Linked DNA regions of Rattus norvegicus. The protein of the gene in region 2 purifies or fractionates together with the protein of the main gene of each other region. This does not show direct contact. Links are inferred from orthologs where the notes say so. Each region holds a gene or a part of one and is shown on either strand. Other genes may lie near its edges.

What was found. The genes of interacting proteins can lie anywhere in the genome.
Region 1: the proteins of Pln (region 2) and Atp2a1 purify together in Homo sapiens (affinity purification with western blotting, with the first as the bait; 3 studies listed by BioGRID). This does not show direct contact. The link is inferred for Rattus norvegicus from reciprocal best matches to the Homo sapiens genes PLN and ATP2A1.

The regions. Positions count from the first base shown.
Region 1 is NC_086019.1:190,472,611-190,476,671, reverse strand, and holds the start of Atp2a1 (sarcoplasmic/endoplasmic reticulum calcium ATPase 1), read left to right. Parts: upstream 1-1,261; 5' UTR 1,262-1,425; coding exon 1,426-1,543; intron 1,544-1,836; coding exon 1,837-1,854; intron 1,855-2,191; coding exon 2,192-2,274; intron 2,275-3,661; coding exon 3,662-3,766; intron 3,767-4,061. UniProt on the Homo sapiens protein: Key regulator of striated muscle performance by acting as the major Ca(2+) ATPase responsible for the reuptake of cytosolic Ca(2+) into the sarcoplasmic reticulum.
Region 2 is NC_086038.1:33,171,108-33,175,293, forward strand, and holds the start of Pln (cardiac phospholamban), read left to right. Parts: upstream 1-1,386; 5' UTR 1,387-1,458; intron 1,459-4,186. UniProt on the Homo sapiens protein: Reversibly inhibits the activity of ATP2A2/SERCA2 in cardiac sarcoplasmic reticulum by decreasing the apparent affinity of the ATPase for Ca(2+).

The sequences.
Region 1 (4,061 bases), on a different chromosome or scaffold from region 2:
GAAGCTGACACCCAGGCCAGGCCTTCAGCAACAACTTGTGGCTTTGCACCCAGCCTCTGGGGCCCCGCCCACATGACTGCCACTGCCCGAACCCTGCTGTTTCTTTTCCCTCTTCTCCTCAGGCTTAGGAAGTCTGTGCTGTCTTTGCTGCTAACTCTGTCCTGTCCTCTTTCTTTATACCTATCTCCACCTTCCTCTCTCTGGAGCCTCTGCTTCATCTAGCTTCAGGGGTCCTGCCCTTGGTCCCTCACATGGGGCTGGCCCAGCTTCAGAGCATGCCTACCAGTCCTGATCCCCACTCCCTCTGTGGGCTGTTGCATCAGGGCCAGAGCTTCAGAGAACCCCACATCTCTGAGGGGTCACCATGAAGCCCTGGGGTTGAAGGCCAGTGTAGGGTGAGGAGATCCTTACTCCCCTGCCCCACCCTGAAACACTCATCCCTCCCCCTCTGCCATCAGCACATTCTGTAGCCTCTTGGGTTACCTGGCTGCCTGGGTGTCCCATTTTCTTCGGGGGGGATTCCCTGCCAGTTTCATGGGGGAGCTAAAGGCTGTGTTCCCAGAGGCTGAGCTAAAGCGGTAGTGGTGGGGGGAGTTCAGGAGAGACAGACAGTCCTGGCTTTGCTTACCAGGGCCTGGACACTAAATCCCTTGTTGATGGCTGCAGCAACCCCTCCCTAGGGTAAGGTTACCATCTGCACTGTCCCCTTGACCAGCTCCCTTCCCTAATTCCCTGTGTCTCTCTAGAGCTACTTCCTCTGTCCCCAAAGATGCTCTCCCCTTTACTTTGACCCCCCAAAGGCTTGGAATACTTCTTCTGTTAACTGAACATACTAGGCAGGGGAGGAGACTGTGACAGTGGAAAGGGGTTCAGGATGTCAAGATAAGGCTAAGGAGTGATGAGGCCTAAGGGCCAAGAGGGCTTACGGAAAGAGCTGCTCAGGGTGAGCTTGGAACGGAGCATTTAGTGTAATTGGGGAAGTTGAGGCAACTGGGGGTGGGGTCAGCAGCAGATAATAGAAAGTGACTTTACTCCCCCTCCCCTCTGGGGCCAGGGCCACCTTTGCGTCCCTTATGAGTGACACCTCAGGCTGCAGCCCCACTGTTCCTCTCTGTCAGCAGAAACCTCTCTCTCTCTTGACCCCTCCTGCTGGGGTCTCAGCCAGCCAATCCCTGACCTGGGGGAAGGGGGAGCCTGCCCCCCCACTCCCTCATAAGGACCAGCTGGGGGCTGGGGGGGTGGCCGGCTGCACAAGTAGGACTGGGGTCAGAACTTCGTGGAAAGGAGAAGAATCTGGGGGGGCAAGCAAGAAAAAGGAAGGAGCCCAGGTTAACAGGCAGGTGGATACACTGAAGAAGTCCCCCCACAAGTGAGAGGCCCCTAAGAAGGAATACATCACCCCCTGGCCCCCAAGAAGGGAGCAGAATGGAGGCCGCACACTCCAAGTCCACAGAGGAATGTTTGTCCTATTTTGGGGTGAGCGAGACCACAGGCCTTACCCCAGACCAAGTTAAGCGGCATCTGGAAAAATACGGCCCCAATGGTAAGTATCCCTCAGAGGAGAAGCTGGTATGGCTGCCTTCCTACCCCTACCAGTGGGAGCTGCTTCTTCCGGGTGTGTACGATCAAGTAGGGCAGTGGTCTGTTTTCCTGTAGGAGGAGGAGGATACTAAAGAAAAGTTCTAAAATCTGGAGTTTGGGGAGGTTCAATGTGACCTTGAGCCTCATGGGATGCCCTTTTGATTCCCTTATGTTAACCACAGAGTTTGGGGTGCTGGGGGACATGAAGCTGGGCCCCCACTGAATTTGTTCTTTTCTTCTTTTTTCCCTGGGTAGAGCTCCCTGCTGAGGAAGGTAAGTTACCCGGGGCCCTCCTGTGTGCCTCATTCCCAACTCCCTGCCTTCTCCTTACTGAGACCCATAGCCTTTACCCAAACGACAGAGGCCCTTTCTCAAAATTTAGTGTCAAAAGTCTCCAGACACTTTCCCTGAGGCCTCCTGCCCTGGAACAGTTGCCACAGATTTGAAGAGCCTTTTTGGCTGTTTCATCCCTTTCTCTCATGCCAAGCTGGGCTGCCCATCAACTTAGAGGACCAGGGCACTCTAGACTCTGGGCCCCAGCCCATCCAGAGCTGCAGACACTCATCGTTTGGACCTTAACCCCTGGAACTCCTCTTCTTGCCTCTCCCAGGCAAGTCTCTGTGGGAGTTGGTGGTAGAGCAGTTCGAAGACCTGCTGGTGCGGATTCTCCTCCTGGCTGCCTGCATTTCCTTTGTGAGTACTGTCTGAAGAATGACACGAGGCTTGGGGTCTGCCTGTGGCTCTTACCATCCTGGATGCCCTGGTCCAAACCCTAAACACCCTGTTTTCCACGCTGGAGCTGGGGGTGGGGTGCTGATTTGCTTCCTCCCCAGCAGAGAGGTTTTATTTTAAGCCTTGAGAGTGTTCTCAGCCAAAACACTGAAGCTAAGCCACCCTCCCAGCTTCAAGGGCTTCAAGAGCTCAGGTTACCCCCCCTAAGCATAGGGCTCCGGCTTCAATAAGGGCTGCCATGTCTACTGTGGGGCCATCATCACTCCCTGCCTGTCCTGGTTGCTCCCTACTCTGCTTCATCAATCCTGCCCTGCCCTCTCCAGCTTGTGATGCTGATTGACTAAAAAAAGAAAGACCTGCTTAGAGGAGTGGAGAATGTGCTTTGGTACAAGGGCGACTGCCAGTGTGGTCTCCAGACCTTCTAACCTTCCACACCCCACCCCTCAACTGTCTCCAGGCTCTACCACATCCTACTTCCATTAGGCCTGGAGCTTCGTGCCTACTTCTCTTTATCCAGCCTTATTCATCCTTACCTCTTGGTGTCTCCCGTTCCCTCAGAGCCTCAGGCTACCCCATCCCCTTGTTTCAGCTCCAGTATTCATAGCCCACGCTGCTGGCTGCTTGTCACCCTTCATTCCAGCAGTCCATCTTGCATTTTAGAAGTTCTTTAGCATCCTAGTTGGAAAATAAGACCTAGGAGAGAAAACAAAAACAAGAACCAAACAAACAAACAAAACCAATACTGTGTAGGCCCCGTGCGCTCCTGGGCCTAAGCTGGCAGAGCTCCCTTCTCTCTCCTCAGATTTGCTCCTTGACATTTGCCTGTGGCTGCTGTCTGGCAGTCGTAACAGCTGGGGTGGGGTGGGTGCAGGAGGCCTGTAACCCTACCTCCCTCCTGTTCTCTCATGAAATCGGAGCTTCCATGCCTTGGTGGTAAGGGAGGGCTGTGGGTGGGCTGGGCCCTTCCAGAACCGTAGGGATTTTCCTATTGGGCTTGGGTCCTGTGGGATGGTTGTGGCTGTAGGGTTGGTTGACCCTGGGTGTCCCCAGAGGTTTGCTTACAAGCCAACAATTTGCTCAGGGAAACCCGAAAGCTGTCCCAGGTAATCCCCAAGTGTGTGTGGCTGCATCACCAATCTGCACAAAATCACAAGGATGGCTGGGTCTGTGTGCTTGGGGCCCTGTGGCAAAGGGAAGAGCCTCATGTTTAAGTGGGGCTTCAGCATGCCACAGGCCCCTTAGCTCTTGTCCACCATCTGACTTCTGCAGCCACCTTCAAAAACCTTCCAATTCCTTTTGTCATTTAGGGGCTTTGTTATCATCCGTTTATTCTCCCTCCCCCTCTCAGGTGCTGGCCTGGTTTGAGGAAGGTGAGGAAACTGTCACTGCCTTTGTGGAGCCTTTTGTCATTCTCTTGATCCTCATTGCCAACGCCATTGTGGGGGTTTGGCAGGTTAGTTTTGACCCCTCCTCCCACCTCCTGTCTCAACACTGAGCAAGGGGCCACATTTCCTTCCAGCCTCCTCCAATATTCCCCTGGCCTTGCCCACTCTTCTGGTCTTCTCATCCTGCTTGGGAATGGTAGAGGGTGTTGGAAAGAGCCGAGGGATCATTTGCTTACATGTGACCACGTCCCTAAGCCTGTTTCCTCACTTGTGAAACAAGGCTAGTAAGCTAAGGGTAGTGGCACAGCCCTGCAGCACCCCAGAGGCAGAGGCAGGGGTCTCTTTACTTCTAGGCTAGCGGGG
Region 2 (4,186 bases):
TCCACACAGTGAGAGGGAATTCTTGCAATAACAGTCGGCACTTTACTTTTACATGGTAAATATGTCCGTCCCTAAATAATATTTATAGACGATCTTTGATAAAATATTTTTCAGTTGCTTTTAGCTAACCTTTTAAGCAACAAGAGATTTGCTCGAGAAGAGGGTTTTATCTTGCTTTGCAAGAAGGCAAGATCATATCCATTTAAGGACACAGGAGCAGCTGCAGCCACACATTTTTCTTACCCACAGGAAAGAGAGGGAGGCTGAGTTTACTCTGCTATAAGCACTTTAAGAATTACACATAGGTTCTCTAAAACTAAACAGTGAAATTGAAAAAGTAGGATCCACACATGTGCTGATTTACATACATGTAATATAAAATCGGTGGAGCGTGAGAGGAGACAGCAGGACATGGTCGGCTCTGCAGCACGACCCAGTTCTCAAAGCCACTCTAGACCCACAAGTGCCATCTGACTTTCTAAAAAAAATTTTCTTACACTTCAGACAAAAACTTACTTACATTAGGTCAAAAACTTTCAGAAATACTCAACACTTAAATCTGAACACTTGGAAACCTGGTCAACACATCACTGCCATACAACTGACAGGAACCTGCAGCTATTTCTTTCTAGAAAAGGTGCTCTTGACACTGTATCAGCTTACTAAGAGTCTGTTTGCGTTCTGTGGTAACACAATGTAGCTATAAAAAAAAATCCTTAAATGTATAAGTTGCATCTTACTGCAGATAACACATGCCTAATGAAATATAGAATCATTCATAAGAACATTGGTTAAAATCTTAACTGCAGAGAATGTAAGTTAAATGTATTTGCTCCTTCTCTATAAATTTTTTCTTTTCAAAACTCAAATTATTATGCTAGTTTCCTCATACACATTCTCTCACCTATCCTAGACAGCAGTACCTAGAGAGATACAAAGCACAAATATAAATAGGACAGGGAAAGGCCTCGACTAGCACCCAAGAACACTCGCTGCTCTGACAGCAAGGCTCTGAGGGCAGCTCCACTACCCTGCCTTGTGGCGCCTGCAGCCTCCCTCCTGCGTTCCTTCACAGGATTTCAGCTCTTGCACTCAGCAGCAGGTGTGAGCCTCCCCAAGTCTGAAGGTGTGTGTAGCCACTGTAAAGCTGCGTTTCAGACGTACTTTATTCTCAGGGACCTGTCATTCACAGCTCTACATTAAAACTAGAGGTGAAGCACAACATGTTACCGACATGTCCAAACCTAAGGGTAAGTGCTAAGGTTTGCTGTGATAAGAGCATGGCTAACCAATCACAGGTTGGGATTCCTATGTGATGTCATAAGACCTCCCTAGAATGCTTTTTCTCCTCCACCTACTGCAACTGTTCCCATAAACCTAGGATAGAAAGCTGCGCAGCTGAGCTCCCAGACTTCACACAACTAAACAGTCTGCATTGTGACGATCACAGAAGCCAAGGTAAGGCACGGTATCACTGACTTTGGACATTCTTACTTTCTGTAATTCGATCTTACTAAACTTTTAAAAGAATTCTAACCCCTAAATTCCAAAAGCTACATAACAAAAGAATCTATGACAAAATGCTTACTTTCTAAATAAAATCTCACCCATTTACTGACAGTAAAATTAGACCACTTTAAAAGAGATCCTATTCAGCCTGTTTGGGCTACTTACATTTGGTTATTTTGGTTTTGCACATATGAACTCCCGATTTAAAAACCTCCCAATTATATTAGCATATATGTTGGTAGAGATAAATTAATTTTCATGCAAACGTAATGGTTTCCTTTGCTATGTGGCTCTGCTGGAACAATGCAGGATGAGGTCACTTATTTACCGCTGGGGGACACAGCTTATTCTCAGCTGTTCATAACTGTGGGGCATGCACACTGAGCGCACTTACTTGATGATATCATTGTAGCTCTTAAGGTGAGACAGTAAAAGAGATTTTAAAGAACAGAAAATGGAGACTACTTCTCAAATGCTCTTGATGACTGTTACTCTCTAAAAATTCCAGTCAACCTTTAAATACTTCTAGAACTTTCATTTTAATAAAGAGAATAGTTTGTTTCAGTTTGATTCTATAAAGAAAAAGTTAGATATTTTTAAAACAAACACATCTTTTTTAAATGACAGAAAAATAATTCAACATTTTTAAAAATAAAAAGGGCATTTTGGCATAGGAACATTTCTAAGGAAATTTGAATACATTCTAACATAGAGTACATTTATCACATTTTTACTCTCCATTGTTCCTAAGTTTCCTGCCATGAATTTAGAAGTAAAACAAAATATCCAGGAATGGAGATGCAACACTGTATTATTGCTATTTGTTACAAAGCTCAATTAAATAAAATGTTTTCTTACTCTTAAACCTATTAGATGACATAGAAAAAACTCACTTTTACTTTACTACTTACATTCCTATCATACATAAATGCTAAATAAAACTGACCTCTATAATTCTCAATTCCTGTAATTCTAACTCAAACACAGCTGTCTCCTACGCAGAACTCTTGTCGGGAAAACATCTCTAGTATGTGCTCTTAACTCCAAGGAACCCTAACCAGCCTCTCAATAAATTTGTAACCCTAAAAATATGTTTCCTTTGATATTGTACAAATGACACTTGGTGCCAAGTTTATCTGGCAAATTTCTGCATTTTTTTACCTTTTTATTTATCCATTTACTGTGGGGGGGGGCATACAATTGCACGTGTGTGAAGGTCAGAGGAGGGTTTGTAGGAGTCAGTTCTTTCCCCCCACACGTAGGCTTCAGGAACTGAGCTTGGGTCATCAGGCCTGGCAGCAAGTGAGCCGTCTCCCTGGTCCCTGTGTTTTACTGTAATGCCTATCAATAACATTCCCACACTAGAATGACGTGTACAAAAGTTTTTCAGTGGAGTAGGGGGTAGGTAATGAGTTTCTTCCCACCAGAATTCCCTTATATAAACAACTTCTAGAAAAAATATAAATTCTGCTATCAAAGCATCTTTAGCAGGTTAAGAGGATGGCATAATTAGTGCCTGTAGTTAAAATTTTCAATAGAAAGTACAGTGCCAGGTATGCTTGAACCATGTGTTCAAAACTAGCTTTATGGTGACATTGAAGTATTTTGTTTATAAAGGTACATGCTTTAAAAAAAAAGATAAAATCAATGAAGAAATGTAAAAAATATAAAAATTATGAAATATAATGGAAAAAATGAGAAAAATTGCTTTACCAAAAAGAGTCACATCAATGTCATTTCCTAAAGCAAATCAAAATTATTTTAACAATATATTAGTAAACATAAAGGAAAATTATTGTATTTGGGTCATACATTAATATTATTTCTTAATCTCACCAATTAAGACATAATATTTGCATTGGTTATATAATTTAAATTATATATTAAAACATTAAGTGAGAAGGATTATAGATCACCTCTATAAATTAGATAACGTAATTGTATTTATTCTAAAGAACAATTTCCTAAGTGCACACAAAAACTCCCTTTTACCTTAATTCTTGGTGTATTTGAATCTCTACATCATAATTTGGAAAACAGATTCTAAAACAAGTGAGGGCTATGAGGTTCACAGAGCTATCCCCAAATACAAGACCTTGAGGAAGAGGTCATTTGCACATCTAACCCCACGGTGACTAGCGAGGCTAAGATACACCATCATCCTCACAAGTGCTAAACACTACCAATGGTTACTTCAAGGAAAAATGAGGATGCAAACTTCTGCTAACTGAAAAGCATTCCTCCGTTTCATTTAAGAGCCATCAAGTGTTGTATCTGTACTACTCTATGATATTCTAAACATCATCTTCCAAGTCAGGCATAAAAAGTTACTGACGTCTTTAGTTTTCACGCAGTAAATTCTAGTCAGCAAAGGCAGACATTAAGATACTACAATCAGTCAAATTAAAATATCCAATTATTTAGCTTGCTTCACTGATAAAAATATACCTGCAATCCATTTAAACTTTTTATCTAAAAATCAGATTAATTTTCCCATAACTTTGTACAAAGGCTTCAATACTCTATTCCATCCCTACATTCCATCAATTTCATTTCTTACAATTTACAAACTATCCAAGGTCACTGTTTTCAAGGTTCCTGAATGAATTTTGCATTGCTATTTACACTATGAGAATAATTTTCATCTAATATAGGAATTCACACATTGATCAGAGCA